2 linked regions of the Schizosaccharomyces pombe genome follow. The protein of the gene in region 1 interacts with the protein of each later gene in a pairwise test. Each region holds a gene or a part of one and is shown in the gene's direction. Other genes may lie near its edges. The genes, in order: nak1 and sog2.

What was found.
Region 2: the proteins of nak1 (region 1) and sog2 interact in a two-hybrid assay, tested with the Schizosaccharomyces pombe proteins (one study listed by BioGRID).

What each region holds. Positions count from the first base shown.
Region 1 is NC_003423.3:2,478,425-2,488,044, reverse strand, and holds nak1 (PAK-like kinase Nak1), read left to right. Parts: upstream 1-3,619; 5' UTR 3,620-3,724; coding exon 3,725-3,804; exon of another isoform or gene 3,805-3,855; coding exon 3,856-4,342; intron 4,343-4,407; coding exon 4,408-5,799; 3' UTR 5,800-5,978; downstream 5,979-9,620. Other genes in the region: Rho-type GTPase-activating protein Rga5, read right to left, coding at 153-1,238; SPOM_SPBC12C2.01C (uncharacterized protein), read right to left, coding at 6,158-7,114; target of rapamycin complex 2 subunit ste20, read right to left, coding at 7,977-9,620.
Region 2 is NC_003423.3:3,551,772-3,561,685, reverse strand, and holds sog2 (leucine-rich repeat protein Sog2), read left to right. Parts: upstream 1-6,029; 5' UTR 6,030-6,203; coding exon 6,204-8,864; 3' UTR 8,865-9,006; downstream 9,007-9,914. Other genes in the region: tRNA pseudouridine synthase Pus2, read right to left, coding at 898-964, 1,002-2,290; response regulator Mcs4, read right to left, coding at 2,844-4,412; SPOM_SPBC887.08 (uncharacterized protein), read right to left, coding at 9,136-9,384, 9,443-9,568; mrpl38 (putative mitochondrial ribosomal protein subunit L38), read right to left, coding at 9,852-9,914.

The sequences.
Region 1 (9,620 bases):
ACAGTAGCGGTATCCAGCCTAAATGCAAATCCCAATAAAACTAAAAGAGCGGACGGTAACAACTAAGTATATATGTACAAAAAGATTCTTCGCCATACAACCAAGGACAAAGACAATTAAACTAGATAAACAGAGAAAAACAATTAAAAGTATTACATACGATTTTCCCTCCGGCGATCAAGTGTATGGAAAAGCTTCATAGATGAGCTTCTAGACAATGAATACGAACGAGATTTGATTCTTGGGGGTGAACCAGGATCCACCTCGGAGCTTTTCATGTTTGAAAAATTTGAACTCGGACTATTGGAATAAGTGGCACTAGAATGACGACTAAAAGAGCGCCAACGCTTAATGGATCCATTTCTTGGATTAAAAGAATTAATCCTAATGGATGTCGAGGCTATAGGAGTAGGTGCAGCAGATTGCGTAATTAAAGTAGAAGAAGTATTTGGAGAAGTAGGCGCAGCTACCAGAGGAGGTAGTGAAGACAAAGGAATGGTTTTGATAAAGCTTCCTTGATGATTGATAAGGAACAAAAGAGCCGTTTGCGATATTTGATAATCTTTTGAGTAAACCTCGTGATCAGGATGAGATAGAATTCCAGGTTGGAAAATAGCAGCCAAATTATCAGCAGTCATCAGGTTCTTCGACGAGTTCATCGCAAAAACGGAAAGTAAGTCCAGTAAATAAAGTAAAAGCTGGCGATTTGGAATCGGTAATTCATCAATGCGTCGACGATACATTTCCACTCGCTCATTGTCTGTAAGATTGGGAATTGTCATGGGTTCACGAAACCTTTCATAATACTCCAAAGGAATCACATGCTCTGGCATTAGATTGATGAATCTCCGAAAAACATTGGCAGCATCATGAACTGTGTATCCTTCCCAATCAAAACTTCGGCCATAATCCGGGCCTGTACTGAAAGCTTTTTGGAGAATTTGGATTCGTTTGGAAGAACCATTAACGCGAAAAATTCCCTTTACTTGGGTAGCATTTTGTTTAAGAAAAAACCCGCACTTAGCAACGACAGCGGGAATGTAGCCATAAAATACTTTCTCACCGTCTCGGCGTGTCAGAAAGATAGCGACCTTCGATACTTCCAAAGCCCTTGTAAGGCTCAGACCAAACAATTTATTGTCATCTGACTTTTTAACCCGCAATTGCTTCCACCAGCTAGCGAATGATGACTTTTTCCCCATATCGTCAATCTGTAGGACTCCTACGACAACAGTCATGAACAATGGCTATTGTAATAAAAATTGAAAAACTTAACAAATGAAAACAATAAAAAAAAGAATTCAATGAGGAAAATGAGATAACAGACAAAAGATTTAAACCCAAATACAATGAAAGAATTGTAGATGTGTAAAAAAAAAGTAACCGATAAATTGACACTCTTTAAAATTGAATAACAATTCTGTTCAACTCAAATAACACTGTTCTCCACTAGATGGGTAAACTTAACTTAATAAATTGCGCTTTTAGAATTATTTGTTGTATTGTGTACAAAGCAGGTTCACACTACGGGGTTGGTAAGTACTAGTTAGCTATTGCAAGGTGGGTGTCGCAGTTTCACAGCCGGTACTTCCGAGGATGCTCGGGGAAGGCAAATCCTCTAATAAAATACCAAACTACTCGCTTGGTTACTAATTTAAAGGAATTTATAAGTCGTTCAAGCGAGCAACTCGTAAAGAGAGAGGCTTAGCATTGTCCTGTACGCATTAGCGTGCCAATATCGTATACTGACCTTTGGATGATGGAATGATTTTACCATACGATTCGATACATTCCTTAACACTTCGGAGAAAACAAACATTCTGCTTGCGATAGCGAAGATTTTGCAATTTTACGATCATGGCACATTAGCGTTAGTGTCAGTAGGAAGTGTGCTGATACCACCCATCCCAGATTAGCAGTGCAAAGTGGGCTCATTAAAGGACGAGTTGAAAGTCATGTTCCTAGGAAATATTTGAATTGCGAATTCTTACAAGTCAAACTGACGAGTTTTGACAATGAAGAATGCCCTCCCCTTGGTTGTTGGTATACTGTTTTTATTGATAAATAAAAGTACCATGTCTCTCTGTACATACAACTACGATTTTCGATATACAGGAATGTTTAGATAATTAATCTTTTAAGAGAAATTCTTTTAGTAATGCAAATTTCTATGATTGTATAATATGCTTGAAACTGTGATTTGTCTGGGGTTTTCTTTTTTGTTATATTTTTATTATGTACAACGACTCTTGTTCACCCAGGTCGAAGAGCTAAGGGTCGCTCATTTCTATATTTCTTTCAAGTTTCCTTTTTTTGCTTAATACATTATCATTTGATTGTTGCGATTGATTGTTACAATCGATCGCTCGCACCGATAATCTCAATTAAGCTCAGCGTGTTGACTTACTTTATCTAACCTTTAAAATAGGTCATCGCTACAAAAATTAGTAAACGAAAGAATAAAGAAAATACAAATCCTTCAATTGATTTCTCGTTTTACTCCCTTTTTACTCGGCAATGTAATAATAAATTAATAATATACATTACATTATTTTTATTTACTACACTTTTAAAATAGCGATGTGGGTATTGGACGCATCAAATCAATTCATTGAATTGAAAGTCTGTAAATACCGGGATTTGTCATCCCATCAAACAAAACTAAGCTGCCCTCAAGAAATTGTACAAAAATTTAAAATTTCTTTGACTAGCTCCTATTATGCGATTGTTTCGTCGAATATTTTATATGATCGGTTCGAAACGATAGCCATGCAAGATGAGCAGCAACAGTAATGCTCGTTAAATTAACTAAAAAGCAACTTATTACAAACCAATTGGTAATTTCATAAAAAAAATGAAATGGTTTGGAGAACAGTGTACAAGCTAATGGATAGCATACTAAACGTAACACACCAGACAACCATGCATACTCGGATTTACATAATCAACTTAGTATCTTTATCTTAAGATACAAATTAGTATTTTACGCAAATTCTCAAAAATCGACCGAGTAAATAAGTAATGTCATCTCATTTTATTATTTACTACGAAAATCAGCATATTTGTAAGGTGAGAAGCTTTCAGCTCTTAAGCTTAGATAGTGGAAATTTTGCAATCCGTAAAATGTAGATTGTGAGAAGGATCTTATATGATTGTATGCATTATGTAAAGTTGGTTTACGAATATGGGCTTTAAATATCCTTGGATATAAACAAGACATTGGGTACTACTATAACTGTATAAATTGTTTACAATTTGAACTGAGGAACAAAAATTCGGTCGATTTATTTTAAAGGATTTTAGTCTTAAAGATAATTACTCTCAAAGAACGGATATATATCCGCTGCGGAACGGAAATATAAATAACTACAGATTATATACTGATTAACGACATAGCGTAGTAGAAAAATACAGATAAGATATCGTTAGTTTTACGTTACGCTAAACTCGATAAGATATTCTCATTTCTCCTGCTAAATTTGCTGTATTTTTCCTCGCAAAGCTTCGGTATTGAAAAAAAATAGTATAATAAGTTGTTTGTTATTTAGGGATTGCACAAATTGAGTATTATAGTAAACAGTTTTTCAATATATATCTACTCAATTCCTTCGTACCCGCTACCACCAGCAGTATAGAAAAAGTGAAAGGGAATTGAAGGAGTTTGAATTGAACCTGTTCAATTAAAATTCTTCATGTATCTGCTAAGCAGCTAAAGTTATTAGAAATGGAAAATAACACTGCTTCTTCGCCGTACACAAAATTAGAATTGGTGGGACGCGGTTCGTACGGCGCAGTCTATAGAGGGTATGAATATTATTCGAGTGATTCTTTTCTACATTTTCTAACATTCTAAAGAATTTGCAATTTAACGAAAGAGACTGTTGCCATCAAGATTCTTAATTTGGATACCGATGAGGATGAAGTCTCTGATATTCAGAAAGAAGTCGCTGTTCTTAGTGAATTGAAACAGTCCGATGTCGAAAACATTATAAAGTATCATGGCTCTTATTTGGTAGGTACTAATTTATGGATTATAATGGATTATTGTCATGGAGGTAGCGTGCGTACTTTGATGGAGGCTGGTCCCATTAGTGAACCATGCATATCTTTGATCCTTAGAGAGACCTTACAGGCATTAAAATTTATTCATCATGCAGGTATCATCCATCGTGATATAAAAGCTGCCAACATCCTAGTTTCCATGTCTGGAAATGTCAAGCTATGTGACTTTGGCGTTGCTGCCGAACTAAACATCAATCGCCGAAAGCGAATCACGTTTATTGGAACGCCTTATTGGATGGCACCAGAAGTTATTCGAGATGGTCAGGAATATAATGTTATGGTATGTTTCGTTGCTGATTACTTATAGCCCTTTACCTATTCCACAAAATTATTAACAAAGTTTAGGCTGACATTTGGTCGCTCGGAATCACTGCATATGAAATTGCTACTGGATCTCCACCTCATGCCAAAGAGGATCCTTTTCGTGCCGTTTACCTAATCGCTCACACCGCACCCCCTAGACTCAATGGAAATTTTAGTGCTCTTTTAAAAGAATTCATTGCCTCTTGTTTGCAGGATGTCCCTCAGAGGAGATTAGATTCTTCCGAACTTTTGAAATCAAAATTTATCAAACAATATTCTCGCATGTCTATTTCTGAACTTACCAATGTTGTAAAACGCTATGACACTTGGCAGGCTGCTGGCGGCATACCCCAAACGCTACTCTTGGGTGAAGAAGCCGATGATGGAAGCGACCCTGATCAGGAAACCTCCGACACCGCTGCTTCTGATGATGGTTGGGAATTTGGCACTATTAAACAAGGTCAAAGTAACGTTTCATCCATCACTGGCACTTCCACCTCCACTACTACCGCTGCTACTTCCTCCACTACTGTAACTGGAACTGTAATTCCAAAATCTTCCACAGTGCATGAACCCCCTTCATCTAATGATTCCCATCCGTTATTACAACTTTTTAAGGATTCAAAGATTTCGGATGATGATTCTCCCAGTAACGCTGAAGGAGCTTCTACTGAGGATTCCAAAGGTGAAGTATCTTATTCTCAAATCGAATTACCTAGCTTAGATTCCTCAAATCTATCCTCCAAAAAATCAACCATTCAATCGAAACACACTAAGCAAGCTGAAGATTACGATTTGTTTGTAGGTCGCACACGCTCAAATTCCAAAACCTCATCGGATCAAAGTATCAAACGACCCCTGCCTCGAGTTGTGCAACGTCAAAAAACTTCTCTTGGAAAACGAGGAATATCCATGTCACCAATGAAGCCGGGTCTTCGTATGCCATCCTCATTCGACCTCCAATCTAGAAGTATATCGATGGGCGCATTTGAACAACTATCTACACCATTAGAAGCGCCAGCGCATAAACATTCGGCAGTGCTACAGCCATTAGAGGTTAATAGGTCAATTAGTATACCTCCTCCGAAATCGATTTCTCCCTCTATTTTGCATAAACCTAGTCTTGAATCCGCTAGTTCTACTCCTAAAATTTCCTCCTGTTCGTCCACTCCTAAGCCATTTAATTCGAAATTAAGAGCTCATTTACCCCCTTTATCCATTGGCTCACCGGCCGTTCAACCATTAGCAAATGATAATTACGATTCTCTGGGGGTTCGAGGTCTAAATATGGAATTATTTAATGATTATCCAGGTAATATGCACAATATAAAGTCTGTATTGAGCTTAGAAATAGACATCGTTTTGGGAGAAATGGACGCTTGTCTAAAGAGCTTGGAATGTAATCTTTTAAACAGAAAAGCATATAATGAATAACTGTTTATGATGCTTTTAGTCCTTTCATAATATAATCTTTAATTTATTTAATGTTTTAACTTCTCTTTTTTTGCTAATATATTCGTTCATCTTTTATGAAAATCTAAATTGTTGAGATAATGATGCCAAATACAGAACATTTAAATTAAAATAGTGCCCACGGTTAAGGAATAGAGTCGTAAATTTATTGTCGTGATAATAACTAAAGAACAAGATGAGGGATAATTTAATTTATATGAGTTACAATTTGAACGAAAATTACAATGATTTAATTTACCTTACTAAATACCCAAACAGTAGAAATCTTAATATTGTATTTAAATAACCATCCAAATGAACCATTTTTATTACCAAAGCATCAACCCGTCGAGGAAAACTTTAACTTGCTACAAATCGAGTGTAGTCTATCGTAAAACCGTAACTTTTGTTCTGTATTCACAAAATTTATTGCCTGTATCATCGCATATTCCTGCATAGTTTCAGTCCCATGAAGAAGTAAAACCATCAATAACTTTTCGGAGGGAAAATGTTGGGAAAAGCAGAGCGATAGGAAAATCTTTTGAGCTGTTTCAAATTTTCGTTTTCGTAAGAACCACTCTAAAAGAGTTGTTTTCAATTCATAAGAAGCAGGAAGAGCCAATAACTCCATATGTTTTAATAAATAAAAACTAGTCCTAAGCCTATTTTTTTGAAGTAGAAAGTAACGAATAGTTAAAGTGAACATCCTCGATCTAAGAAAAGGATCATACTTCCTTCCAAAAAAAATCAGACGAACACAATTTTCCTTCATCTCTGCTGACACATTTGGCGCGTTTATAAGATCGTGTAAAAAAGCATTAAGTTTAGAAGAGCTATTGAGATGAAGTAAGCGTATTCTGTCTTTTAGATCATTTGTGTCTTTAACATTTTGAAGCTCATTTAGTAGCTTTAAATGTGATTCTCGATATTGTGAAAATCGAGACTTAAAATCTGAAAAATTACTCATGGAAGACATGATTTTATAGGGTATCGGTTCAGCTTTACATGGAGAAAGAGCTTCACTGGTATTTAAATCACGAAATTGTTTTGTGCTATACTGTCGAAAGTAGCAACATGAACAACCAACATTATGATTGCTTACAATCGTAGCTGTCATGCGCCGTGCTTTTAGTAAAGGGGAAAATGCATTCACAGAATAAAACTTTTTTGGTGTGTTTGGTAAGGGAATAAAAAAATGAATATTTGCAAAGTTTTTGACATCGAAGGACCGTGATTTTCTTAAAGAATGAGAAGAAATCAAGCTTAGACGAAGTAACCTGTATGTCACATTGTACATAGCAAGAAAAAAAAAAAATCAATAATGTTCCATAGAAATAAACCCTTAAACGTACTTCCTTCTTTTGTCTATTAAACAAATCCGAAAACCTATCGAGTTATGTAGTCAAAAGAGTGTAAAAACCCAAATATATATATATATATTTTTTTTCAAATTATATTTATAAATTTATTTCCTTTTTTTTAAAGAATAATCTTCTTCCTTGCGAACAACCAAAACAAATTAAAACCAAATGCGATGTTGTATGAGATTTACTTGTGAGCAGAAATATGCCCAAACTCCACGATATGTTAAGCAAATACACTTTCGTTTAGTTATATAGGATTTGCTAATTTACTATAACATGAGGCTGCCGTTCGTTGCATACGTTGTATGTGGAAGTTGAGCATAACTTGCTAAGCATGGGTATTACATATAAGTACACCTTTGTGGTACGCAATTTTTATATTGATAATAACAGCGTACAAAGTAAAAATTAGCACGAAAAGATGAAAGGCAATATATTCTTGTTCATATTACTATCGTATGGAGGCCAGGGGCTAAGCAGGCCTACCTAAACTACACAAATTCAAAAAAATATCCGCAAGTATCAGACATGTCTTATAAATATTAGATTAATAATTTAAACATCCAAAAACAATTATAAACTCATTACTAACCCTAGCGCAATCACCTTTTATGTAAACACTAGTCTAACTTAGTAAATAAACTTATGAAAAGAAACAAAGAGGGAAGGTCAAAGAATAAGCAGAAAACTAAAGATCAAACTTATTGAATAACAGAAGAAAAACGATAATAAGAAATCATAAAAATCATTAATTTACAAAAATTTTAGAAAAGTGAAGGTTCGGAAATTTGGAGTTCATGCGGAAATTGACAAATTATTCGGCCTGGACGGGGATTCATTTAAGTCCTGTGAGGTTGAGGAAGACAATAAAACCGAGTAAGGAAATAATTCAAATACAAATTGTTGAATCTGAACACGGTAATGGAATTTTCCCAGAATGGTCATACAAGCTTTCACCAAACGTTTAGAGGAGAAAACTTTAGCATTTTTCGAACGAATCTTTGTTAGTTGCCGTGCTGACTCGTTTGTTAAAACATGGTTTGACAAATTGGAAACGAGCCTAATTACCTCTCTCTCTGAGTTAGTTAAAGAGCTAAGTAATGAAGAAAACTCAGGAGTTGGCACGCGCTCATTTACAAACTCAACATTTCTCCTTGGAGTTGATAATACTTGTCCAGCATGTCTCGGAATGCAAATTCCTTGTGAAGTGCCCATTAAAGACATAAGGCTATACCAATGCAGTGATTCGAGTATCTCAACGCCTTTAGAAGTCCTGGAAATCAAGCCTAATACAAAATAAGCAGTTCCTCGAACAGTAGGAATCAATGAATTTTCGGCATATTTGACAATCAACGGTATCGTATCATGGTTAATTAAAAACGTAATACCCTGATCGGTTTTTCCAATGTTTCCTATAGCCCAAAGAGCACTCTTTAACTGCCTGATGGCTTCATTTCCTAACGGTTTATCGTAAAATTCCACCAAGGTACCCATAAAAGATTCAAAATGCCCAGAAGACTCGAGAACCTCACAACCTTGTGGAGATTTGACTAATTCGCCATAAAAGTGTAGGGGAAGTATATTTTCATCTGGTTCATTGTTTTTCTTGTCAATAATTTTGAGATTTGAAACAAAAGAAAGGAAAAAATTTTGCTCCAATAAATCCACGTAATCTATATTTCGATGATGGTACCAATTATCGAGTTCATGTTCAATAAAATTAATTTCAGAAAGGTAATGAAATCCGACAGTTGTAGCAAGAAAACGTAAAAGTAAAGGTGAGCCAATTTCACCCAAATGGGCCAATGAAGGTTGAAGCTGAACAACTTGAGCCAGCAAGTTTTCATTTCGAGCACAAACTTCATTCAACACCTTCACTGCTGTTTTACATACTTCCAAGCAAGGATCGTACAGTTGAAATATCAATAGAGAAATTGCCCAGTGATTTAAGTTGTCATTGGCAGACTCAGAATTGATTAAAGCCGCAAGATGCTTGGTTGCAGTTAAGCGTACAGCCTGTTGCCCGGTATTAAGCGCCTTAGAAAATATAATTCGTGTGTGCCCCTCTAGCCGATAATCAAGATTAGTCAGAAAAATAATTATGAGATCGTCTCTGTTCCTCAATTCTGTCAAATGGTAAAGTGTAGTAAAAATCCTCCATCGTTCCATAATTGCATGACCTTCCTTTTGGCTTGACAATACTTTTAACATAGGAAAGTAACCGTGGGTGAGGGTTTTCTGAAGCCTACTGTTCGAGAAAATCGGCTCAGAAACCTGTTCTGAATATCCGTCTATCTGGCTAAGAGATTCTGCTATTTGTTTAATCACTTTGCTTTCAGAAAGATATTTAACGCCTTCCGGATTGGCTAGTAAAGTCCTGAAAACAAGACAACCAACCTTTATAAATTTTTGATTTGGTTTAGTGTTTTGTATGGAAGA
Region 2 (9,914 bases), 1.1 Mb from region 1:
ACACTGAGGAACGTAAAAATACAAACCACACGTATTGTAAACAAAAGGTTCATTTGAACGCCAAACTAAACTTCACTTTCAATAAAACAAAAGAATTGATCTCTCCAAAATCTTATAAGTAAAAATTCCTACTTATAAAGTAGTTTAAAATACTATTTTAAATCAAAAGTTTGGAAATAGATTGGATAACGATATACCACATTAAAAAGACAAATGTTTTTACCATTATATGGCATACTAAGTGCCTCTAAAGGTCGCATATTCAGAAACAGTAACTATAAAGGAAGAGTAAACAAATGAAATTTAGAGTCACTTACAATAACTAAGTTCACATTTATTTAAAAATTTACAAATATATCAATCACTAGTAATCGCAATTTTACAGCAAAAGTAAAAGGGAAAGACATTTCATTTATTGGATTAATCTGTCTTGATGCTCGTAGGGGCCAACTTGTTATGAAGATACAAGTAGTCCGATATATCATCAAATTTGTTCTTGCTAGGGTTTAGCAACCTTCTTCAGGGAAAATGAAATCTAAAGAAGGTGAATAAACTAGCTTCGAGCGAATGAACATTTTCATTTCCAGTTTTGCAAATTTATCTACATGAGAGCACGATTTAAAATAAGATATATCAGTTTGAATTAGAAAAAACCTAAACTAATTACTCTGCTATTTACGAAGTGGTTAATATGTGTATATACGTTAGCGCTACCTAAACCTAACAGGGCGTGTGACTGGAATATTCTTATAGGGTAGGGTTTTTGCTTAGTAGGAATGCTTGACAATTGCAAAAAATTAGCTTGCTTGCAGCAGTAGGTTTACAAAGAAAGAGACGAAATGGCTTTAAATTGTAATTATCTATTTGTCAAAATAGACTGTGAGTGTCTTGAACATTTCATCCAAATAAATAATCAAATTGATGTCCAGTATGTTGATCGATATAAGACAGGAAACTGAAAAATCTAGCATGTTAATGTCGTATGTAAATAAAGCACTTACAGTTTCTCTTTTTGTTCTAACTTAATTATGTCGGGGTAAATAGTTTTAATTTTTAAGGACAGAATGTCTTCTTCAAAGCAATCAAATTGAATTTTTTCTAGACCATCTGTAACAGAATCGTTATAAGAAGAAAATTTAATATCTTTTAAAAGAAGAACATGACCTGGACTTTTACTAATGTTCATCGTTATATTTGGATCGAACGCTTTGTCTATTAATCCCGTAGGAGCACAGCTTCGTATAATCATCAGAACATGAGCCATCATTTTACGAATCTGATTTAGCATAAAAGAATTACCTTTAATCGTAACAGGAATCCATTCCCAGTTTTCATAAACAAAAGGAGTTCCGCAAGTAACACTCTCAATGAATCGATAATTACTTGGTGATGTGGAGTCATCAGTGACAGTAAAGTTATGAAAATTATGCCGGCCTTCGTATTTCTTTAAAAGCTGTTGTAAAACCTTTAAACGATCCTCTTTTATACGATAATTCATATAGCAATAATATTCAGCTTGCTTTAAAGCCTTCTTTAATTTTGCTTGGGGAGGTATTACAATCCCAGCCGGAATAGGCTTTTCATAGAACATACCTTTAAATGGGTTAGTGAATGCATCTTTATTAGTATCAAACATTTCTTGTATTTCCTTCTGCTTAAGCTTCACTGTATTCCAAAAAGAAATCAAATCGTTCATTGAATAAACTAAATTTCTTTCTAACTCATTATCCAGTTTTCTTGATAAGTTTTTCTGCATTTTTTTAAAAAGAGGACAAGAGGGCTTAGGAGGAAGTAAAGCAAAAGAAGGAATTAAGTATTCATATGTCCTTGACTCGCAAGAAATCCTAGGATTAAAGTACTTTGGCGCAGGAAAGACACTCCACACACGAATTTGAGAACAAAGTGCTTCATTCAACTCAGTTTTAAGTAAGGAAATATCTAGTGGCTTATCGACAAAAAGATTTAATGATATTAAATTTCTTAATGTATGGACCCCTTTGTCTGTTCTAGCTGCTCGCGCAATACACAAATGTTCAGCATCAATGTTATTTGTTTTTAAATAGCCCAATTTTTTAAGTACAGCTACAACATCTCCTTCAATTGTTTTAAGGGGATTATTTATTTGAATCCCATGGTAACCATAACCAGAATATCCCAATAAAATGATGATACGAACTTTGTTAGATTCTTTTGTGCCCTCGATTTTTTCTCGCTTTGGTAATTTTGGTGTTTCTAGATCCTCTGCGGGTATATGCTCCTGTTGATTTTTTCTTTTCGAGATAGAAGTCATTTTTTATAAAACAAATCTTCTAAAAAAATTTAAAGAAAAAAAAAACACCACAGTTTACTATTAATTACAAAAACGTATTAAAACAAAAGACACAGAAAATATTGGTGTTTAAGTGTGGTATGGACGCAATCAAGAATGATGCACACGAGATTGAAATACGCTCATTTTTTAGCGACATATTAAAAGTCTTTACAACTAAAATATTAGATACGAAAATAAGATATCCTACTTTATTATCTTTGTAGATGAATAACGAAATTTTGGAGTTTTAATGTACAACATAATATTAGGTAAATCAGAAAGTGTTTAGTTATAAGGATAACACAATTAGCAATAAGTATCTATGACAAGCTGATCCATTAATAATTAAGGCAGGTAATTAGGTAAAGGAAAAGAGGAAATTATTTTGCTAGCAAACCATAGCGTCCGACAAATTGATAACCAAAAGATTAATTTTATACAATAAAAGATTACGGAAATAAAATGAGCGGAGCTCGACTTATTGTGGTGAACAGAACAAAACACAGTGATACAAAATTTGGTAAGGCTAATATCATCGACCGCGAAAACGGCACCAACCATTCCAATCAATAAGCGCTTGCATACAGCCCCACTCCGTAATTTTTTTCTCTAGCCAAACTAAAGAGACAGGCTTTGTAAGAAAATCATTGCAACCAGCAGCTAAAGCCTCGTTTCGATCAGCCATTAGGCTAGAAGCAGTAAGTGCCACTATAATCACAGGAGATTGAAATTTGTTTTCATTTAGCTGATCCTTTTCAGGTATCGGTTGTGTCAATTTTGGAGCACCAACTCCAATTGCGTTTAACCGCTCAAGTCTCCTAATTTCTTGGGTGACTTCAATACCGGACATCGTGGGAAGTTGGATGTCCATTAGAATCAAGTGAAAAGATTTCTTTTTCCACTTCTCGAGTGCTTCAAGCCCATCTTTAGCAACCTCCGAGGAAATATTGCGCTTCTTCATAAAAGTCTCTAGGATTTTTTGATTAATAATATTATCTTCAACAATCAAAACGTTAATTGGAGGAATCACTCCTTCAAGTAGACTAGCAAAAGGTGCTTTCGCACCTATGCCGGGACTTGTTAGAACATTGACTGGTGAAGTACCAACAATTCCATCTATTTGATTAGAAGGAAATCCTAAATGGGCTTGTGTATCAGCATTTAAGGGATCTTTGTTGTCTGCTATAGGAAATTGAGAACTGATATCAGGGTTCATCCTATTTGCTGCGTCAATATCAGCATTAACCGCGGGAAGGACTCCTGCGGTACCAGATTGTTTCGTATAAAGCGATGAATGACTAATACTTCTACTATTAGTGGGTGTCGCGACTTCGGCTTTCGCCAATTTTTCAGCTGTTGATTCATCAGACCGAGTCGACATTCCAATAGAATTTTTTCTAGTAATGGATTCGGCTTCGTCTGATGGTTGCGACTTGTCAGCTGAAGTTAGATCTGGTAAAGAGGGTCTTGAAGCCAATGTTTGCTGTCTAGAAGAACGAGGCAAAAGTAGTACGCCAGTTTTATTTACATTAGAGGAAGGAAGAGTTTGATGGGACCTAGTTCGGGATGCATTTCGTAAATTATAATTTAAAGGACCTCCTTTATAAGAATAAGTACTTTGATGTCGTGAAGGGGCAGAAACCGGGCTCTCAAGTGAATCAAGAGCAATGGATGGCTGTTTGATACGCGGGACTGTTTCGTTCGCTGGGGTAGGGATTATGTTAGGTGGGTATTCAGAAAAAACGGGAGGTGTTGATTCAAATGTAGAGGATGAGAGTTGAGAAGAGCGATATCTTAAGGCAACTGAGGTATCCGGCGACGCTACTAGAAGCGCGTCGTTAAAATCCTGACCATGAGGATAATAAGTTTCCATGACAAATAATATGCTTTCGTTGGGACTGAGTTCTCTAGATTGCAACTCCGATGATGCATTTGGTGGAGCTACTACACGAATCGAAAGCTCAGGTGCATCATAATACTGACTGATACGAATAGGGAATTTCCGAGCGATGGCATCTTTTAAATCGTCAACCAGATGATCTTCAGACAATATAACGGAGGAAGTAATCCCATCTGGAACTTTTTTAAACCAAATGCGCATCTTCTATATATCTTCTTTCTTTTGACTTAACCTCAACTTTCCTATATACAGTATGAACAACCAAAACAGCCGCCTGTTTTTACGTTTAACATTCGATAGCTTCTTGTATAATCCCCTTCTATTTTAAATTTAATAGAAATATACAAGTATAAAATCACTGTTCGTGATAAGGAATGAGTAAGGTATGGTTCACGATACAATACGGCAAGCCTACTTAAGGTGTTGAGTTTCGTTACCTAGTCGTGCAACAAGCGCTGGGGATTTAGTAGAGTACTTAGAGTAACACCTTCCATCTGAGGACAAAAATCGAATAAATTTTAACACGTGAAAATAATAGGCACAGCTAAAACTGCGATTGTAAATTATACATTCTACGATACGAGCAAATAAGTATTCGTTTAAAAGGGATACTGTTGTGTTATTGACTTACTATTAGAATTCGACATTACTAAAATTTAACTAATTGAGTAATTGTTTCTGAAATTTATTCCTTATTTTAGATTTTATTTAAAGTATGTAGTTTAAAAAAAAAAAAAATTAAACGTTATACCCATACTTAGTTGGCTACCATTAATGGTCCTATTACTACTTGTCAGGTTTGGATATTTAATGACTCAGATTAAATGATTTAATCAACACAAACCAATATTTTTGAAATTCAAAAATAATGAGGCTTCAATTTCTCAATGAGAAACCAAAAAAAATTATTTTAGATAGTAACCCATTTAGTCATAGAAAAAAAAACCGTGTTTGATTATATGTACAATTTATCAACTCATTTATTTTTATCAGGTTCTTAAATCATAATGATAAACCTAGGCGATTCTATTAGGAAGCAATATATTAAGGACTAATAAAATAAACAATAAATATTAATGATTAGGAAATCAAACGCACCAAGATAATCAAATTGATAAACAAACTATAGATAAATGACAGAAATATTGAATCAACAAAATTGCAACTCATTCAAAAAGTTATCAATTTACACTTAAAGAATTATTTACCACAAAACATACTGTAGCGTTAGCATTTGTTGCTCCTGTTAATAACGACTTCTGATCTCGATGAACTCAAAAAGTTCGAACCAACATAATATAGCGAGTGCTTTTGATCATTCAAGAATTAGAAATGAATGCTAACAATACTACATTACAATTACGAATTACTATATGTCACATGTTCTGATTACCTATCGTCTTACAAATGATAACAATACGATGTAGATCCACTAATAAATTTTTTAATTTATTAGCTAGAAATGATAGATGTAAAATCAAAGGAACAACGTTCTTTAGTTCAGCTGTGGTGGTTTGTTTAGAGATAAATTACATTACCGCCTTCATACAAGGATATCCGTAACCCCCGTTATCATACAACCATATGTACCGCTATGTAGTGCACATACGAAAATCAAGTAGTCTAACATATCATTAATGATAATTACGAACTGCATAGCTAAAAAAAATAAAACGCAATATCAAACTTAACGAAAATATTTTGTGTAAACGTTAATAAACTGTAATTATTTTAAGGAAAAGTGCTTATTCACGTTGTTAAAATAAAAAAGTACAACCTACAGATGCGTACACAGAAAGAAGTGAGTTTATTCGTTCCGCGAACTAGCTTGGCAGTAAATTTTGGGGAATTGACTTTTGTACATTATAGCATACCATTGTGGATCAATTTTATGTTCATTGCATTTTTTTAGTAATTATTACTTCTTAGAGTTCCTTTTTTTTTCAACAAAACCTTCGGATTTACGTCTGAGGTGATCGATCTTTTCATGCTATGTCTGCTCATGAGGTGTCCTCCACAAAAAACTCAGAAATTGAAAGAATTATTAAAGAGGCAGAAGATGCGGGTCCTGAAAATGCACTTACGTTAGATCTATCTCATCTAAACTTGCGGGAATTACCTTATGAACAATTGGAAAGAATCCAGGGTCGGATAGCGAGACTAGCGCTAGGCCATAACTTTATAAAGAGTATTGGTCCTGAAATCCTAAAGTTTACTCGTCTCCGGTACCTAAATATTAGATCGAATGTCCTTAGAGAGTTTCCCGAATCTTTGTGTCGACTTGAGTCACTTGAAATTTTAGACATTTCTCGCAATAAAATCAAGCAACTGCCAGAATCCTTTGGAGCTTTAATGAACCTTAAAGTTCTTTCAATTTCTAAAAATCGTCTTTTTGAGCTTCCCACCTACATTGCACATATGCCGAATCTTGAAATTCTTAAAATTGAAAACAATCACATTGTGTTTCCTCCTCCGCATATCGCTAATAATGACTTGCAAGATTCTGATATGCAGTTGTTTATTGCCAATATAAAGGGATATTTGTCGCGAAACGAATCAGTCTTTAGAACGCGAAGTGAAAGTACTGTTTCCGCTGCTTTATCCGCTTCAGCTAATCTTAGTCACTCGGAAGAAAATGACTCCTCTGTGGTTGATTCTTACTTATTTAGTGCCCCATCAGATACTAGCCATGCGGTTTCACCTGGCATGCTGACGTTTGTCACGCCAAGTCCCCATTCACATTCTCCTGCCGGGCATCAACAGTCCACACCCAAATCGACTTTGTCAAAGACAAATGAGAACTCAGAAGGAACATTGTATGATTCAAATGTTGCTCATGGATGCACTCATCCTCCATCACTTAATCAATTAAACAAATTTCATCTAGATGCGTCGCCTAGACAAGCCCGTCCTCGTAGGTCAGTTTCTTTAGCTACTGGCCTCAATTCTCCTTCTGTTTCAAAACCACCTTCTTCTGCTACAGGACCATTGTACCATTCACCCCAAAGCTCACTCACCAATTCCTCCGTCGCTAGTGCAGACGTTCAAGAACGTACTCACAATACTAACGGCGCTAGCCCCATTCAAGACCAAATTTCAGAATTCACTGATCAACATCAAAATCCCTCAAATAATGATGCTGCTTCCACACAATCGATTCTAAAAACAGCTCCAACGCAGTTGAGTGCGAGTGCTAAAACATCAGCCATAAGTTTACCTGAGGTTGCCAAGAAAGAGCGTAATAGAAGCAATAGTACAAATGATGATTACTCTTCTACTAGACTTCCATCGAGTGTTTTACATCGTCTTGAAGCCCTTAAAGAAGCGCGCAAACTTTCTGAGCAATTACCAAATCGAATTTTTGCTCAAGATCCTCATCCTTCCCCTCGTTTGAAAAAAGAAGAAACGCATGAAAATGGCTCCAATTTGACAAATGACTCGGTCAACAGCTACTTCAGTAACATTGGAGGGAGTGAGGTTGAAATGAAGCACTCGGCCTTTGAAAAAACTTTAGAGTCGTCTAGGGGCATATTGTTTTCGCTTTCGCAAGTCCAACAAGCCCTTCGTCAGCAACTTCTTTTTTGCAGCAACCCCGTTGTTTTAGATTCTATGCGTCATGTGTTACATACTGCCAATGTTCAAATTAAGCGGCTAATTCTGTGCTTTGAGGATACCCAACAAAGCAATGATGGAACTGCAAACATTAATTCCATAGTAAACGCTTCATTGTCTTGTATCAGCTCGTTTCGTAAACTAATTGAAGTGACAAAAAAATTTTTAAATGAGCTCACTAGTCGTGCGGATGTCCGATATGTTCGGCTTTTACTGCTAATTCTTTTCGATGCTGCAAAGGAGTTACAAAACGCCTTGGTACCATTGAGTCCATCACAACCCCATAGTGGTAATAACATATTCGCCGATCAGGTACGTCAATCTCCGACAAGTATGATCCGGACTGCATCTGGGCTTACGAACAGAATCGTTAGCGTTGAAAAACCAGCATCAGTGATGAATCCTGAAATTGATAAACAAATACAAGATCAGGTCGCTTTAGCAACAAACAGTGCAATGTCAGTTTTGACATTACTAATTGATGCTGTTCCTAAAAATAACCAGCCTGATCTAGTAAATGAAAACATCGCACCCAATTTGATTAGTAAGTTACGTGAATTGGGATCATTATCCGCCGCCGCCTGTGATGTTACTAGAAAACTTAAGCATCGCCTTCTAACTTTTCAAACGAATCCGGAAGAATTGGAATGGCAGCTTTTTTTGGACGACACTCAAGCATTTGTCAAGTCTATTATTGCAGTCGCAAATTTAGCGAAAGCGTTATCCAGTGAATATACATTCCAAAAAAGCGTATTAGCTGGTCTTTCAGCTGCAACAAGATCTACAAAAGATCTTACTATCTTACTTTCTTCCTCTGCTCGACATTACACTGAGTCATCTTTAGCCACTCCTGTTCCTTTGATGTCCCCAATAGCCCGCGTACCTGCAACACCGTTGTCAGCGGCTCTGGGTTCGGCTGCTCAATCTATTACATCTCCTCTAATCATGTCACCAGCTGCAATTCCGGCGTCAGCCTATAGTACTAATAAAATCGATTACTTTACTGACGCGGATGGGAACGTGGAAGGTTTACAGCGCTAAAGAATTTTTTAATGAAGATTGATGAGGAATAATTGGTAACTCGATAACTCAAAAGCCTACAAAGACTATAAATTTAATGATACAAAAAATGATGCACGATTGAATTTGATTAATTTATTTCTTATTCAAATAACAAAACCAAGGACAAATTGTAAAGGATGATGGTACAAGTAGTGATTAATCTGTTTCCACATGAAAATCATGTACAAAAATTAGACAGAGTGTGTAGTTTTGGGTAGGTACTCTTTGACAAGACAAAAATTTTTTCTAATTAATTGCTTTGCTTATTTTCAAGTTTCATTTCGCATCTTCTGATGATGTCTTCAATTTCATTGATTTCGCCTGAACTCAGTCTGTGGTACTCAATGCTGGAACTATCAGTTGGAACATCAAGTGCTTGAAATGCAAACTTTTTAGCTAAGGAATAGTTTCCCAGATAATATTGTTCTTCCGCTGCAAATTTTGATTGCTCTAAAATATAGGCTTCTTCACCGAGGACGACGCCATTTTTACTAAGATGCTGAATAATCTGTTAAAATCATAGACAATAAATTGGGAGTAAAAAATGAGTAACATACACCAAAACATTGAACTCTTGGAGTCCATCCATCAGTTTCAATGCTTACTTTCTGTTTTAATCGCTTATTCCGTTCAAGCTTTGACTCACTAACATCAAAATCCAAATCAATCGCCAGCAAATCCATTCTTACTAGAACATTAAATTCTTTTGATCGATCAGATATATTTAACAGATAATGGACTATATAATAAAGCCTGCTACAGCTGTATTTTACTAAAAAAGTGTGTAGTAAAAACCTTTTAACCCCACAATGCTTACGAGTAACAAAACTCCAAAAAAGCAAAATCTTAATTGGCTATCAGGTAAAAAGTGTTTGCTGAAGAGACAAGGTCCCTTAATTAGACGTAGAATAGAAAATTAAAAAATATATTTTAATTAAGTGAAATATTAACATTACAATACCCTTTTCAGATGGTTCGTGGAGCAAGAGATGCTATTTTAGTATGATGTTTTGTTCTGAGCTCGTTGGC